Linked DNA regions of Macaca fascicularis. The protein of the gene in region 3 purifies or fractionates together with the protein of the main gene of each other region. This does not show direct contact. Links are inferred from orthologs where the notes say so. Each region holds a gene or a part of one and is shown on either strand. Other genes may lie near its edges. The genes, in order: ITCH, WWP1, ARRDC3 and ADRB2.

The links.
Region 1: the proteins of ARRDC3 (region 3) and ITCH purify together in Homo sapiens (co-immunoprecipitation; 5 studies listed by BioGRID and IntAct, counting the BioPlex papers as one, with this or other methods). This does not show direct contact. The link is inferred for Macaca fascicularis from reciprocal best matches to the Homo sapiens genes ARRDC3 and ITCH.
Region 2: the proteins of ARRDC3 (region 3) and WWP1 purify together in Homo sapiens (affinity purification with mass spectrometry; 4 studies listed by BioGRID and IntAct, counting the BioPlex papers as one, with this or other methods). This does not show direct contact. The link is inferred for Macaca fascicularis from reciprocal best matches to the Homo sapiens genes ARRDC3 and WWP1.
Region 4: the proteins of ARRDC3 (region 3) and ADRB2 purify together in Homo sapiens (affinity purification with western blotting; 6 studies listed by BioGRID and IntAct, with this or other methods). This does not show direct contact. The link is inferred for Macaca fascicularis from reciprocal best matches to the Homo sapiens genes ARRDC3 and ADRB2.

What each region holds. Positions count from the first base shown.
Region 1 is NC_088384.1:90,523,378-90,526,941, reverse strand, and holds part of ITCH (E3 ubiquitin-protein ligase Itchy homolog), read right to left. Parts: intron 2,774-3,564; coding exon 2,614-2,773; intron 1,816-2,613; coding exon 1,682-1,815; intron 1,352-1,681; coding exon 1,211-1,351; intron 1-1,210. UniProt on the Homo sapiens protein: Acts as an Acts as an E3 ubiquitin-protein ligase which accepts ubiquitin from an E2 ubiquitin-conjugating enzyme in the form of a thioester and then directly transfers the ubiquitin to targeted substrates.
Region 2 is NC_088382.1:96,097,537-96,101,563, reverse strand, and holds the start of WWP1 (NEDD4-like E3 ubiquitin-protein ligase WWP1), read right to left. Parts: upstream 2,802-4,027; 5' UTR 2,609-2,801; intron 1-2,608. UniProt on the Homo sapiens protein: E3 ubiquitin-protein ligase which accepts ubiquitin from an E2 ubiquitin-conjugating enzyme in the form of a thioester and then directly transfers the ubiquitin to targeted substrates.
Region 3 is NC_088380.1:95,368,901-95,372,464, reverse strand, and holds part of ARRDC3 (arrestin domain-containing protein 3), read left to right. Parts: intron 1-58; coding exon 59-206; intron 207-1,216; coding exon 1,217-1,319; intron 1,320-2,055; coding exon 2,056-2,312; intron 2,313-2,951; coding exon 2,952-3,114; intron 3,115-3,355; exon of another isoform or gene 3,356-3,393; coding exon 3,394-3,548; intron 3,549-3,564. UniProt on the Homo sapiens protein: Adapter protein that plays a role in regulating cell-surface expression of adrenergic receptors and probably also other G protein-coupled receptors.
Region 4 is NC_088380.1:155,701,979-155,706,254, forward strand, and holds the start of ADRB2 (beta-2 adrenergic receptor), read left to right. Parts: upstream 1-1,469; 5' UTR 1,470-1,690; coding exon 1,691-2,870; coding exon of another isoform or gene 2,871-2,938; exon of another isoform or gene 2,939-3,481; intron 3,482-4,276. UniProt on the Homo sapiens protein: Beta-adrenergic receptors mediate the catecholamine-induced activation of adenylate cyclase through the action of G proteins. The beta-2-adrenergic receptor binds epinephrine with an approximately 30-fold greater affinity than it does norepinephrine.

The DNA.
Region 1 (3,564 bases), on a different chromosome or scaffold from region 3:
TGAATCATGGGGGTGGGTCTTTCCCATGCTGTTTGCATGACAGTGAATATGTCTCACAAGATATGATATGGTCTTTTTTTTTTTTTAGACGGAGTCTCGCTCTGTCACCAGGCTGGAGTGCAGTGGTGCTATCTTGGCTCACTGCAAACTCCGCCTCCTGGGTTCAAGCCATTCTCCTGCCTCTGCCTCCCTAGTAGCTGGGATTACTGGCACATGCCACCACACCCAGCTAATTTTTGTATTTTTCGTAGAGACGGGGTTTCACCATATTGGCCAGGATGGTGTCAATCTCCTGACTTCGTGATCTGCCTGCCTTGGTCTTCCAAAGTGCTGGGATTACAGGCGTGAGCCACCGTGCCCAGCCAATGATGAGGTTTTTTTTTTTTTTTTTTTTTTTTTTGAGACGGAGTCTTGCTCTGTCGCCCAGGCTGGAGTGCAGTGGCCGGATCTCAGCTCACTGCAAGCTCCACCTCCCGGGTCTACGCCATTCTCCTGCCTCAGCCTCCGGAGTAGCTGGGACTACAGGCGCCCGCCACCTCGTCCGGCTAGTTTTTTGTGGTATTTTTTTTAGTAGAGACGGGGTTTCACCGTATTAGCCAGGCTGGTCTCGATCTCCTGACCTCGTGATCCGCCCATCTCGGCCTCCCAAAGTGCTGGGATTACAGGCTTGAGCCACCGCGCCCGGCCAATGATGAGGTTTTAAAAACAGAGTTTCCCTGTACAAGCTCTCTCTTTGCCTGCTGCCATCCATGTAAGATGTGACTTGCCCCTCCTTGCCTTCCACCGTGAGTGTGAGGCCTCCCCAGCCTCGTGAAACTGTAAGTCCATTAAACCTCTTTCTTTTGTAAATTGGCTAGTCTTGGGTATGTCTTTATCAGCAGCGGGAAAGTGGATTAATACACCTTACAATATTCCCTGTAAAAATATCTGCATATATATTTGAGATTCTTTTTAATGACATGTTATACAGCATAGTTACAGAATTGATATTTAAAAGAGTAATCCTGCATGACTTTTATCCTTAAACTCTTTCAAAAACACTTTTTGAAAAAAAAACTTTTTAGAAATGAAAAATGATTGCCTACATAGGATATTGATTAGTACAAAGACAAATATTATTTTTGGAGATAACTCTCCATTAGCATTAGTAAGCAATTATCAATACGCTGTAGTCAAACAAAAAGTGAAATGTGAAAAGGAGCACTCTCACCTGATGTATTCCTCTTTATTTTCTTCTGTTACAAGAATATTGCCACCATTAGGTTTCAGATCATGACTCTTAATTTCACCTAGAATTTCTTTGTCAACGGAGAAGTACATTTCCAAACCACATTCCTCAATATTGTTTTCTCTGCACAAATGAAATTAGCACTCTCTGTTATATCCACCAATTCAATCATAATTTATAAGTCTTTACCTAAGGCCCATATTCTTAAATAATTAAGTTATAACATCAAAATAAGAAGAAATAAGATTCTATTCTAAGGTCATCATATTATTGCCAAAGATCTTCGGTATATTTTTGTAAAATTTATCATATTGAATAAAAAGGCAGGTTTGATATATAGATCATTTAAATACAATAAACCAATTATGTGCTTACAGTTTGCATAGGTTATCAATACTACACGGAATGCATATAAACTATATTTTAATAAATTACATGGAAAAAGAAACTTACTTAACCCAGATGAGAGAATTGTAAAATTCTGGATCAATAGATTCTAAATCCTTGAGTCCAACTGGTTTGCTCAAGATACGCTTATAGAATGGTAGAGAAAAACTTGTGTCTATGATTTTCCCATGGAACAGAGCCTATGAAAAAAGGAAACAAGACTGCTTAAAATAATTGTACAATAATCATTTTATCTGAATATGTTAAATGAATTCTTCATTTAAAAACACTTCCCTGGGTCGGGCATGGTGGCTCACACCTGTAATCCCAGCAGTTTGGGAGGCCGAGGTGGGTGGATCACCTGAGGTCAGAAGTTCAAGACCATAATGACCAACATGGAGAAACCCCATCTCTACTAAAAACACAAAAATTAGCCAGGCGTGGTGGCACATCCTTGTAATCCCAGCTACTCAGGATGCTGAGGCAGGAGAATTGCTTGAACCTGAGAGGTGGAGGTTGTGGTGAGCCGAGATCACGCCACTGCACTCCAGCCCGGGCAACAAAAGTGAAACTTTGTCTCAAAAAAACACTTCCCTGGCTGGGCACGGTGGCTTACACCTGTAATCCCAGCACTTTGGGAGGCTGAGGTGGGTGGATTACCTGAGGTCAGGAATTCAAGACCAGCCTGGTCAACATGGCAAAACCCCATCTCTACTAAAAACACAAAAATTAGCTGGGTATGGTGGTGCACACCTGTAATCCCAGCTACTTGGGAGGCTGAGGCAGGAGGACTGATTGAGCCCAGGAGGCAGAGGTTGCAGTGAGCCAAGATTGTGTCACTGCACTCCAGCCTGGGTGATACAGCAAGACTCTGTCTCAAAAATAAAAAACAAAACAAAATCACTTCCCTTTCTCTCGTATGATCTGTTATGGCACCTAAGAGAAAATTTAGTATTGCTGAGTAAGCAAAGTAAACATAATTCTTGACCTGCACTTACCATGGCAATAAATCTGCCAATAAAACGAAAATATTTCAGGTGATCTGGATTGATGTAAGAAGCGGGGTTTATCTGCAAGCAGTAGTTATCCTTCCCTGCATATTCAAACAGGCAATACATTGGGTTCAACACTTCATGTGACAAAAGAAAGAACCATTCTCTGAAATCAAAAGAAAATTTACTATGAAAAATCTTGCAGGTTACCATGTCAACAAATCAAAGAACAGTGTTATAAAGTTCTCAGGGATCTATACCCCTCAGCTAGTGATAGTTTTCTAATCTCATGTTGATTTTTATTGCTTCTGTTCAAACTCACATCTATTTCACAGAGTTGGTAGTATACACCATCTCTGGTAGATGGTAATATATACATTATTACATTTTAAAGAATCTAAGACAACATTTTCCCAATTTTACCTGCGATATATCTTAATTTCAGAGATATTATAACATGAAAATACTGGTCTTAGAATCAATGAAATACTATTCATAGGCAAATTTAAAATTCACCATTCACCCATGTGAGTGGCTGAAATCAATCTAATATTCCATCTATTACTAAGTCCCATAATAATCCCCGTCAAGTGCCACTACTCCCTACACGTTAAATCAATATGAAAATTTCACAGAGGCAGTAAAGCACATAATTCCAGCCACTCACATATTAGAAAAATGCTGAGACTCTAAGTCAAATATTGTGAAAATATGAACCAATATTAACATAAGATTATGGTTACTAAAACTATGTAACATGGGTGATCTGGGGTAATACATGTGGCATAAGCCTGTAATCTGGATCTCTTTTCCTGTTAGTTCATGGCCTCTTCTGATAAGTGTATCTCGTGACACACTTTAATACTGCTAGTTGATTTTCTTATTAGGAATAAATGATTGCTCTTCTCTTCGATTGCCTTTAATTTATACAAAATTACATATTTCTACTCATATTTG
Region 2 (4,027 bases), on a different chromosome or scaffold from region 3:
CACAGGAGACTGAGGCAGGAGAATCTCTTGAGCCTGGGAGGCGGAGGTTGCAATGCACCCAGAAGGCACCACTGCACTCCAACCATAGGGACAGGAGTGAAAGAAATCCTGCCTCGAAAATAGAAAAAAGCTCCAAGTAATTCCGACATGAGTGTTGTGGATGACCTTCATGTGGCCCATGGACTCCGCTAAAATTATATCCACGAAGCATAGGCACATATGGAAAATTTCCAGGCCAGCATAAGTTTTACTAAGAATTAGTAATCCCCAAAAAGTTGTAAAGTAGCACACACATGCTAAGGGTAAAGCTTCATGATCTTGCTCAAAATGGTACCACTGTTCTCCCAACCAACCTGAATCAGAATCAGTTATTTTTACTTTCTTCACTTGCCCTCTCATCCATTTTGGCTATTCGACTTCCTTTCTTCCTTTCCATTCGCCTGCACCACAGCTCAGATCCTCACTACCCATGACTACAAAAACTGGGAGGTCTTTCTACCTCCAGGTTCTCCCTACCTCAATTCACACTACAGGCCGCTATCCCACTAATCCTTCTGAAACAAAGTGTTCAAATTGTTTCACTCCCAACTCAAAATCATCTGTGGAAGCCCCATCACCTAGTAAATCCAAGGTCATAAGCCTGGCATTAAAAACAACCCATAAACTAGTTCAAATTTTCCCTTCAAGTTTTACCATCCTTTATCCTGGTACAAATAAGCTTATGTTCCATCCAAACATAAGTACGTGCCTCTCCCTAAATAGGGACTCTGTGCTCTCTTAGAGAGATACCTCTTTGCTTGGATTACCTTTCCTGCCTATCCAAAGTCATAATCGTCCTTCCAAACCATGATTTCAGAAGCCATAAGCTCTACAAACTAACCCTCTTATCTCTACCTTGCCAAGTAAGATCTGAGCTCTACTCTTTGAAGTTTACTTCTGAGAGGATTTTGGTACCATTTATGAAACTTATATATTAAAAGACAAATAGGGCATTTGTGTATAGCACTATCTACCTAATTAGTGTGAAGGCAGAAACTGCTAATCGGTTCATCTTTGTATTCCCCAAAATACCTCCCACAATTATGCAGTAAATGCTTAACAACTGTACAAGGAAGTAAAGGAAATTTCAGCCACCGTGGGGTAAACAGCAAAGATTACCATCTCTTTGAAGGCAGAGACTTTATCTGTGACATCCTGTATTATGCCGGTAGCTCATAATTATTGCTTTTCAAAACCCTGATGTAGATCTTACCAGCAGTTTCGCATTTTAAGGTAAGAACTATCTGAAAATGTTAATAAGCTATGTCCCAAAGAACTATTCCAAATACTTTACAATTCCCAATCTGAGTAGCTCCCAACACTTGGCCACTACACTTTCCATTTTTTAACATACTAACCATTTATAAAAAATGATCATTTCTAGTCGCAGCTAATTTACTACTTGATGGCTAAAAACAAGTCACACAATAAAAGAATGTCTTTCTTTTTTAAAAGGTGCATTTTGCTTACGTAATACACACAGATTTGGTGAGGCAGGTAAAGTGGATTTACACATGAACTCTTGTTTTAAAAAAAAAAAAAATGCAGGTAACTGTAAACCAAGTATTTCAGGTAAAAACACCAAATGGGGAAAACAAATATAACTTTGGACATGATTTTTTCCCCCATTACTATTACTAGTAACATTTTAAAGCAGAAACACAAAATCTTGTTCTACATTAACCTACACACACACAAAATTTTGTTAAACTTATCAAATAGAAAAAGAAAGCAAAATCAAGCCCCTGAAAAATATTTTTATTCTGTAAGAGTAAAAATGTCAAAATTATAACAGACACTACTCTTCTTTGGTAATGAAGGTTTCATATATTTACCAGAGCAAAGAAAACTCCAAATCGACAGAGCAAAGAAAGGACTGTGAACAAGACTGATCATTTAAAGGTCGTAAAGGTAAGGAGCAAACTACAAAATTAAATGTTTTTAAAAAAGGACACGAAGATGAAAGGAGAGTCTGTAAGTCACAGACAAGATAAGGACTGGTAAAATCTGCAAGGTCACTGGAACCTACCAGGTCACAAAAGGTGGAGGTGGGGGTTGCGATGGGGGGGCGGGGGATGGGGAGCTGCAGAGTCGGTGAAGAACGGGGAGTGATAAAAACATGTCAGAAAAAGACGTTCCAAGGCTGGAGTCCTTGGTTTGCAACGCTCAAATTGGGGTTAAAGTCAGGGCACGGGCAATGAGTCCATATATTTGTGTTTTGAGGGAGGTGTTAGGGAAAGGTGGAGGAAGGCGAAGAGAAGGCTAAGAAAGCCTAAGAACTGCAGCTGCAGAGTCACGGAAACACTTCGCTCCGCTCCAGGATCACTGGCACAGGCCTGTGCCAGGACGAACTCCGGGCAAGACCCGTGACCCCACCCTAGAAAACTCCCGACTCCCTGGCTGGAGAAGGCAGCCAAGGTAGGGCGGACCGTCCCCCGACGGCCCCTAGGAGGGTCCAGCCCGGAGGCGGACGGCGCCGGGCGCCCAGCACCGCGACCAAGGCTCCGGGCCCGTGCCCCCTCCCGCCCTGGGCGCCCGCACCCCCAGCCCCGCGCCGCGCCGTCCTTACCCGGCGCGAAGCTGTCGGCTCCCGGCAGCCGGGCGGCCACGGCAGCGGCACCTCCTCCTGCGGCGGGCGCCCTCACCCTTCCGCGCCCAAGATCGCCATCTCGCAGCAGGCGCGGCGGCGGCAGCCACCCAGGCGTCGGCCCCGGCAGCCCAGGCCGCCAGCAGCCACTCGGAACCCGCACGCGGAGCTTGCCGACACCCGACCCTCCCCCCACCCCCACCCCGGCCACGCGCCACCCCCAGCCGACCCCACACCTCCCTTCCTCGGGAGCGCGCCGCGTGGCCGCGTCGCCGGCGCCGCGCCCCGAGCGCGCGCCTCCCCGCCGGCCCCGGCACAGCGCGCTACGCCGCGGCCGCCCAAAGCCTCCAACTCCGGACCCGGAATCCGCCTCCCCCGAGCATGCGCAGCGAGGGCGCTCGGATGCTGCCTTAGGAAAACTCCGCTCCTCCTGGTCTTCCGAGCGGTCGAGCGGAGGGGGAGGGACAGCCAATAGCAGGGAGGGGCGGGGCCTGAACCTGTGGAAGGGGCGGGGCCGTCGCTGAGATTTGGGCAGGGGCTGCTCTAAACGCGCTCTGGGCACTGCTAATTTGACTTTCCGGTCGGCGGTCGAGCCCGGAACAGGACTTCTTAAAGTCCGGGGGCAAAAGTAGGCTGTTCATAAATACTCCGTGACCTGAGTGTTTGACCTCGAACCCATTGCAAGAGTAAATAATTGCATTTAGCTGTTGGTCATACCCGAAGACTTTCAGTCCGTTTTTTATTAATCAAAACGTTCATCTGTGGAAGTCCCACCACCTAGTCCTCACTCACATCAGCCCAGTGATAAAGCAGATACTTACTGACCAAGTACACGTGTTGGCACAACTAACGCACACAACAATCTGATAAAGTAGCGTCTACTGTCTGCATTTTACAGAAAAGTCAACTGGTTTAGAAAAGTGCTGCTGGTTATATGTATTGCTTTTAGAAGAAAGGTCAATATGCAAATAGAAGTCCGTGAGACCACATTACTTACCAGGTGATCCGGTTCCTACTTCAGAGAAGCAGAAGCCTTCAGGCATGGATTTCTACAGCTTTCCCAACCACCTGACCAACCCCGATAGATTATATCTACGTCCACACCCAGACTTACTAGTTTTCCTTCTGTCTAGGGCCAGATGCCCCTGCCCCTCTCCACTGCCTGCTCCCCATTTTGAGCGGTCCTTGGCACATCTTTAACTTCACTGTCTCCACTGCCTACAACTCTCAGCATAATCACGTTTTAAGACTAGGTCCTAAATTTTCCCTTGATTTTAAAACCTGTGGTTCTCTCTCCCCTTCCATTTTAACTGAGCTTTTGAACTGTGTACCAAAAACAGCGCCATCGCTTCATCAGTGTGTACAGAATTCAACAAGTATATCTTGACTGAACAATGCACA
Region 3 (3,564 bases):
TGTGTAATTGTTAGAAAGAGGTATAAAATTAATATATTGACCTTTATATTCTGCACAGACCACTTGCTACCTCATTCGAAGGCCGACATGGCAGTGTGCGCTATTGGGTGAAAGCCGAATTGCACAGGCCTTGGCTACTACCAGTAAAATTAAAGAAGGAATTTACAGTCTTTGAGCATATAGATATCAACACTCCTTCATTACTGGTAAGAATTGACTGAATTATTCATTCTTTGTTTTTGGCATATAAATATTAAAGAATAATCAATCACCTAAACTATGCAGTTGTCATAATTTAAAAATACTGGTTTTCTTTTAAAATTCCATAAATATACATTTTCTTAAATACAGTCAAGAACACTGAAATTAATGAAAAATATGCTCACATTTTTGACATTGTAGTACCTTTAAGTAAATATGAAACTAAGACCAGTATATGATATGAAGTATCTCTTACTCACAATATGAGTAACAAAAGCCATAACAACAAACAGATCTGGTCCTTGGATGATTTGAGTGGAAGAAGGACAGTAGTATCTTTTATTGTAATACAATATCACTTAACTTGACAACATCATAATCTAAAATTTGTACTATACTTTGTTATTCCAATAGAGGGATAGTTGTCAAATAATGGGGAATCATTCGTTTCATTAAAAAAACTCCTTTTTTAAAAGAATCTATTTTTAATTGCATTTGTCTGAGAATAAATCAAATTTGACTTAAAACTGTATTTGGTTTAAACAAATGATAACATCTTTAAAGCAAATAAGAAATGGGCATTTTCCTTTTTTTACATTTTTTTTTATATTCTCAGAGGAAGATGTTAACATTTGGAATTATAGTCAGATTGCTTTCTGTGCTGCCTTTTTAAGGCAGTTTAAATGGAATGTGGAAAGGGTTTTTTTTATTTGGTTGGTTTTTCATTACTGTATTTGTAAATAGTGTGAACTAAAAAACTGTTTATGGGAAACGCTGTACACCCTTTACCTTTTTTTTCTAATTGAATGGAAATTTATATAAAAATAAAAGTAATGGTATAATTCAAAACCATCAATTAGTTAAAAAATAAGAAGTATATCTGGATCCAAAAAAAAAAGCAAAACCAGTTTTAATTTTTATTTTTCCACAAATTTAGGATTATATTTTAAAATATTCTGGTATTGATTGTACCAATCCATACACTGACCTTTTTCTCTAAATTGTTTTCTTACAGTCACCCCAAGCAGGCACAAAAGAAAAGACACTCTGTTGCTGGTTCTGTACCTCAGGCCCAATATCCTTAAGTGCCAAAATTGAAAGGAAGGGCTATACCCCAGGTATGTATGAGGTAGATTCCCACAAAAAACTTTCTTCACTTAGCTTTTGTGTATAAATTTATAATATAACTATTAAATATCAACATAATATCGTATTCTTTTGTGAAATTACAAATTGTGCTTTTCCATTTGTTTTTTCACAAAATAGAATGTAGTTTCCTTTTTCAAATAGCTACTGATGAGTTCATTTCTATGACTCTTAAGTTATTTGCAGTTCCTAGGACACCTTTTCGTGCATGTTAGTTGCTCTTTCTTACTTTAGCTTTAAGAATCTTGATTTCTTGGCCAGGCGCAGTGGCTCAAGCCTGTAATCCCAGCACTTTGGGAGGCCGAAACGGGCGGATCACGAGGTCAGGAGATCGAGACCATCCTGGCTAACCTGGTGAAACCCCGTCTCTACTGAAAAATACCAAAAAAAAAAAAAAAAAAAAAAAAAAACACTAGCCGGGCGAGGTGGCGGGCGCCTGTAGTCCCAGCTACTCGGGAGGCTGAGGCAGGAGAATGGCGTAAACCCGGGAGGCGGAGCTTGCAGTGAGCTGAGATCTGGCCACTGCACTCCAGCCTGGGCGACAGAGCGAGACTCTCTCAAAAAAAAAAAAGATTCTTGATTTCTTTTGTTATTTTTTTCTAACCGGGCGACAGAGCGAGACTCTCTCAAAAAAAAAAAAAAAAGATTCTTGATTTCTTTTGTTATTTTTTTCTAACAGTAGATATGTATATATTTTTCCCTCTCTAGGTGAATCAATTCAGATATTTGCTGAGATTGAGAACTGCTCTTCCCGAATGGTGGTGCCAAAGGCAGCCATTTACCAAACACAGGCCTTCTATGCCAAAGGGAAAATGAAGGAAGTAAAACAGCTTGTGGCTAACTTGCGTGGGGAATCCTTATCATCTGGAAAGACAGAGACGTGGAATGGCAAGTTGCTGAAAATTCCACCAGTTTCTCCCTCTATCCTCGACTGTAGTATAATCCGTGTGGAATATTCACTAATGGTATGTACACATTTAAGAGGTTTTTTCCTTTCTTTTTTCTTTTTTGAAACACCTGTCACCCAGGCTGGAGTGCCACGGCACAGTCTCAGCTCTGCTGCAGCCTCTGCTTTCTGGGCTCCAGTGGTCCTCCCACCTGAGCCTCCCAAGTAGCTGGGAATACAAGTGTGCCTGTAGCCAGGCCTGGATAATTTTTGTATTTTTTGTCGTGATGGAGTTTCACCATGTCACCCAGGTTGGTCTTGAACTCCTGGGCTCAAGTGATCCACCCACCATGGCCTCCCAAAGTGTTGGAATTAGAGGCTGAGCCATAGTGCCTGGCCCAAGAAGTCTTTGGTGTTTTGTTTTGTTTTGTTTTTAATCTTAAAGTTATGGAGACATAATTTTGTCTTACATCCAGGTTTTTTAATTCCATATATAGTGACATATGAAATACATAACTCTTTATATAGTTTGACTTATAATTATACCTTATATGTAAATGTACTATATAGAATTATACATAAAAGAGAAACTTTTCATGTATGTAAGATAAAAAATGAAGTAAATGGGGGTTTCAAATAACATTAAAATTGGTTATTAGTTTTTGAAAAGGAAATCATACTTGGCATTCTAAACGTAATATTTCTTTGCAATGTTTAGGTATATGTGGATATTCCTGGAGCTATGGATTTATTTCTTAATTTGCCACTTGTCATCGGTACCATTCCTCTACATCCATTTGGTAGCAGAACCTCAAGTGTAAGCAGTCAGTGTAGCATGAATATGAACTGGCTCAGTTTATCACTTCCTGAAAGACCTGAAGGTAATTTGATAATACATATCTAAGCTTAATTTCTTACTATTATTATCAAGAAAATTATTTTGCTTCTGATATTTTATGACCCTAGATGAATGTAATCTTCCCCTAAAGAAAGTAGATGTGCCCCTAATACTCAGTTTTGATTATATGTCTTCATAGTTTTAATCACCAAACAAATAATTATTATTTTACCTTGACATTGCTTTTTAATACCTACTATTTTGTGTATTTTGACATGCATAAGAACATGCTGTTCGAATTGCGTGTATCTTTTTCCTTCAGCACCACCCAGCTATGCAGAAGTGGTAACAGAGGAACAAAGGCGGAACAATCTTGCACCAGTGAATGCTTGTGATGACTTTGAGAGAGCGCTTCAAGGACCACTGTTTGCATATATCCAGGAGTTTCGGTTCTTGCCTCCGCCTCTTTATTCAGAAGTAAGTACCTACTCTT
Region 4 (4,276 bases), about 60 Mb from region 3:
ATTTATATTTGTTATTTATTTATTTATTTATTTTTTTGAGATGGAGTCTTGCTCTGTCACCCAGGCTGAAGTGCAGTGGCACGGTCTCGCCTCACTGCAACCTCCACCTCCCAGGTTCAAGTGATTCTCCTGTCCCAGCCTCCCGAGTAGCTAAGACTACAAGTGCCCGCCTGGCTAATTTTTGTATTTTTAGTAGAGACAGAGTTACACCATATTGGCCAAGATCTTTTGCTTTCTATAGCTCCAAATGTTCTTAATGTTAAGACACTCTTAAGACTCTGAACCATATGAATTTGCCATTTTGGTAAGTCACAGACGCCAGATGGTGGCAATTTCATATGGTGCAACCCGAAAGATTAACAAACTATCCAGCAGATGAAAGGAATTTTTTAGTTGCATTGGGATTACTGAAGAAATTGTTTGAATTCTCAGTGCATCTCCAGTTCAACAGATAATGAGGGAGTGATGCCACACTCTCAAGAGTTAAAAACAAAACAACAACAAAAAAATTAAAACAAAAGTACACAACTTTCTCTCTCCGTCCCGAAATACATACATGCATACTCCTGCTCCAGGTGAAATCCAAAGGGTAAAACTGTCTTCATGCCTGCAAATTCCCAAGGAGGGCACCCAAAGTACTTGACAACGAGTGTGCTGAGGAAATCGGCAGCTGTTGAAGTCACCTCCTGTGTGCTCTTGCCAAATGTTTGAAAGTGAATATACTGGGTTACCGGGTGTATGCTGGGAGGGGGGCATTAGCAGTGCTTGGGTGAGGGAAGTTTGTGAGTACCCAGATGGAGACATCCGTGTCTGTGTCGCTCTGGATGCCTCCAAGCCAGCGTGTGTGTTTACTTTCTGTGTGTGTCACCATGCCTTTGTGCTTCTGGGTGCTTCTGTGTTTGTGGCCGCGTTTCTGTGTTGGACAGGGGTGACTTTGTGCCTGACAGCTTCTGTGTGAGCGCGCGCGCGAGTGTGCATGTCGGTGAGCTGGGAGGGTGTGTCTCAGTGTCTATAGCTGTGGTTCCGTATAAGTCTGAGCATGTCTGCCGGGGTGTATTTGTGCCTGTATGTGCGTGCCTTGGTGGGCACTCTCGTTTCTCTCCGAATGTGGGGCAGTGCCGGTGTGTGCTGCCCTCTGCCCTGAGACCTCAGGCCGCGCAGGCGCCCAGGGCAGGCAGGTAGCGGCCACAGAAGAGCCAAAAGCTGCTGGGTTGGCTGGTAAGCACGCCAGCTCCAGCTTTAGCCCTCTGGGGCCAGCCAGGGTAGCCGGGAAGGAGTGGTGGCCCGCCCGCCGGGGAGCAGCTGGGCCCCTCCCGGGCCAGCCCGAGCAGAGGGAGGGCGAGAGGAGGGGAGGAAAGGGGATGGGTGCCTCGCCCCTTCGGGCCTGCCGGCGTGCCATTGGCCGAAAGTTCCCTTACGTCACGGCGAGGGCAGTTCCCCTAAAGTCCTGTGCACATAACGGGCAGAGCGCACTCCGAGGCGGCTTCTCCAGAGCACGGGCTGGAACTGGCGGGCACCGCGAGCCCCTGGCACCCGACAAGCTAAGTGTACAAGACGTGTCCCCACCACACCCACCCCACGGCCGCTGAATGAGGCTTCCAGGAGTCCGCTCGCGGCCCGCAGAGCCCCGCCGGGGGTCCGCCCGCTGAGGCGCCTGCAGACAGTGCGCTCACCTGCCAGACTGCGCGCCATGGGGCAACCCGGGAACGGCAGCGCCTTCTTGCTGGCACCCAACGGAAGCCATGCGCCGGACCACGATGTCACGCAGGAACGGGACGAGGCGTGGGTGGTGGGCATGGGCATCGTCATGTCTCTCATCGTCCTGGCCATCGTGTTTGGCAATGTGCTGGTCATCACAGCCATTGCCAAGTTCGAGCGTCTGCAGACGGTCACCAACTACTTCATCACTTCACTGGCCTGTGCTGACTTAGTCATGGGCTTGGCAGTGGTGCCCTTTGGGGCCGCCCATATTCTCATGAAAATGTGGACTTTTGGCAACTTCTGGTGCGAGTTTTGGACTTCCATTGATGTGCTGTGCGTCACAGCCAGCATTGAGACCTTGTGCGTGATCGCAGTGGATCGCTACTTTGCCATTACTTCACCCTTCAAGTATCAGAGCCTGCTGACCAAGAATAAGGCCCGGGTGATCATTCTGATGGTGTGGATCGTGTCAGGCCTTACCTCCTTCTTGCCCATTCAGATGCACTGGTACCGGGCCACCCACCAGGAAGCCATCAACTGCTATGCCAAGGAGACCTGCTGTGACTTCTTCACGAACCAAGCCTATGCCATTGCCTCCTCCATCGTGTCCTTCTACGTTCCCCTGGTGATCATGGTCTTCGTCTACTCCAGGGTCTTTCAGGAGGCCAAAAGGCAGCTCCAGAAGATTGACAAATCTGAGGGCCGCTTCCATGCCCAGAACCTTAGCCAGGTGGAGCAGGATGGGCGGACAGGGCATGGACTCCGCAGATCTTCCAAGTTCTGCTTGAAGGAGCACAAAGCCCTCAAGACGTTAGGCATCATCATGGGCACTTTCACCCTCTGCTGGCTGCCCTTCTTCATCGTTAACATTGTGCATGTGATCCAGGATAACCTCATCCCTAAGGAAGTTTACATCCTCCTAAATTGGGTGGGCTATGTCAATTCTGGTTTCAATCCCCTTATCTACTGCCGGAGCCCAGATTTCAGGATTGCCTTCCAGGAGCTTCTGTGTCTGCGCAGGTCTTCTTTGAAGGCCTGTGGGAATGGCTACTCCAGCAACAGCAATGGCAACACAGGGGAGCAGAGTGGATATCACCTGGAACAGGAGAAAGAAAATAAACTGCTGTGTGAAGACCTCCCAGGCACGGAAGACTTTGTGGGCCATCAAGGTACTGTGCCTAGCGATAACATTGATTCACAAGGGAGGAGTTGTAGTACAAATGACTCACTGCTGTAAAGCAGTTTTTCTACTTTTTAAGACCACCCCCCCCCCCAACAGAACACTAAACAGACTATTTAACTTGAGGGTAATAAACTTAGAATAAAATTGTATAGAGATATGCAGGAGGAGGGGCATCCTTCTGCCTTTTTTATTTTTTTAAGCTGTAAAAAGAGAGAAAACTTATTTGGTGATTATTTGTTATTTGTACAGTTCAGTTCCTCTTTGCATGGAATTTGTAAGTTTATGTCTAAAGGGCTTTAGTCCTAGAGGACCTGAGTCTGCTATGTTTTCATGACTTTTCCATGTATCTACCTCACTATTCAAGTATTAGGGGTAATATATTGCTGCTGGTAATTTGTATCTGAAGGAGATTTTCCTTCCCACACCCTCGGACTTGAGGATTTTGAATATCTCGGACCTTTCAGCTGTGAACATGGACTCTTCCCCGCTCCTCTTATTTGCTCACACGGGGTATTTTAGGCAGGGATTTGAGGAGCAGCTTCAGTTGTTTTCCTGAGCAAAGTCTAAAGTTTACAGTAAATAAATTGTTTGACCATGCCTTCATTGCACCTGTTTCTCCAAAACCCCTTGTCTGGAGTGCCATTGCCTCCCCGACTGGAAACCACAGGTAACTACTTGTAATAACTGCCCATGACTTAATGTAGAATGATACAAGAATGACATGCACAGATTGCTTAACCCTTTCATTTGCCTTTGAATCTGCTGCTGCAAAGCTGCATCTCTCCTGACACTCATGCCCCAAATCAGTTCTGCCTGCTCTTAGTATAGCTCAACTCTCCCTATGGTTATTGTTCTGTGTTGTTACCTCAGAAACACTGACTCACAGAAGCGGAGTTATGGGCATATGTTTTTTTTCTCTCCACGCGCCCCCACCACCCACCTTCCAGTTCTACTTGTTTCATAACTGTTTATATTTATGTCTTGGCCATGTGTTATAGTGGAGCTCTTTGTACTGCATCAGGGCTTGGCATTTTAGGGATAAGGAAGATGTTCTTGTGAGGAAGCTACTCGAACATGGCCCCGTAATTCCGAGGGAAAATTAAAAAGGCATCGGTCATGGGGAGAAAAACTGGAGAACACATAACTGATGGATACCACGTGACCTAGAAATAGAATTTTAACCCCTTTTCCTTCTTTCCTTTGGTCCCTGTTTTCTTCTCCCACTGACTCTCCTCGGTTCAGTATAAACCAAGGTTCTGAGTCTTGGCACTGTTAGCATTTTGGACCAGATAACTCTTTGTTGTGAGGGCTGCATCATTGGATGTTTAGCACCTCTGGCCTCTATTCATTAGATGCCAGGAGCATCCCCTGCTTATAACAGGCAAAAATGTT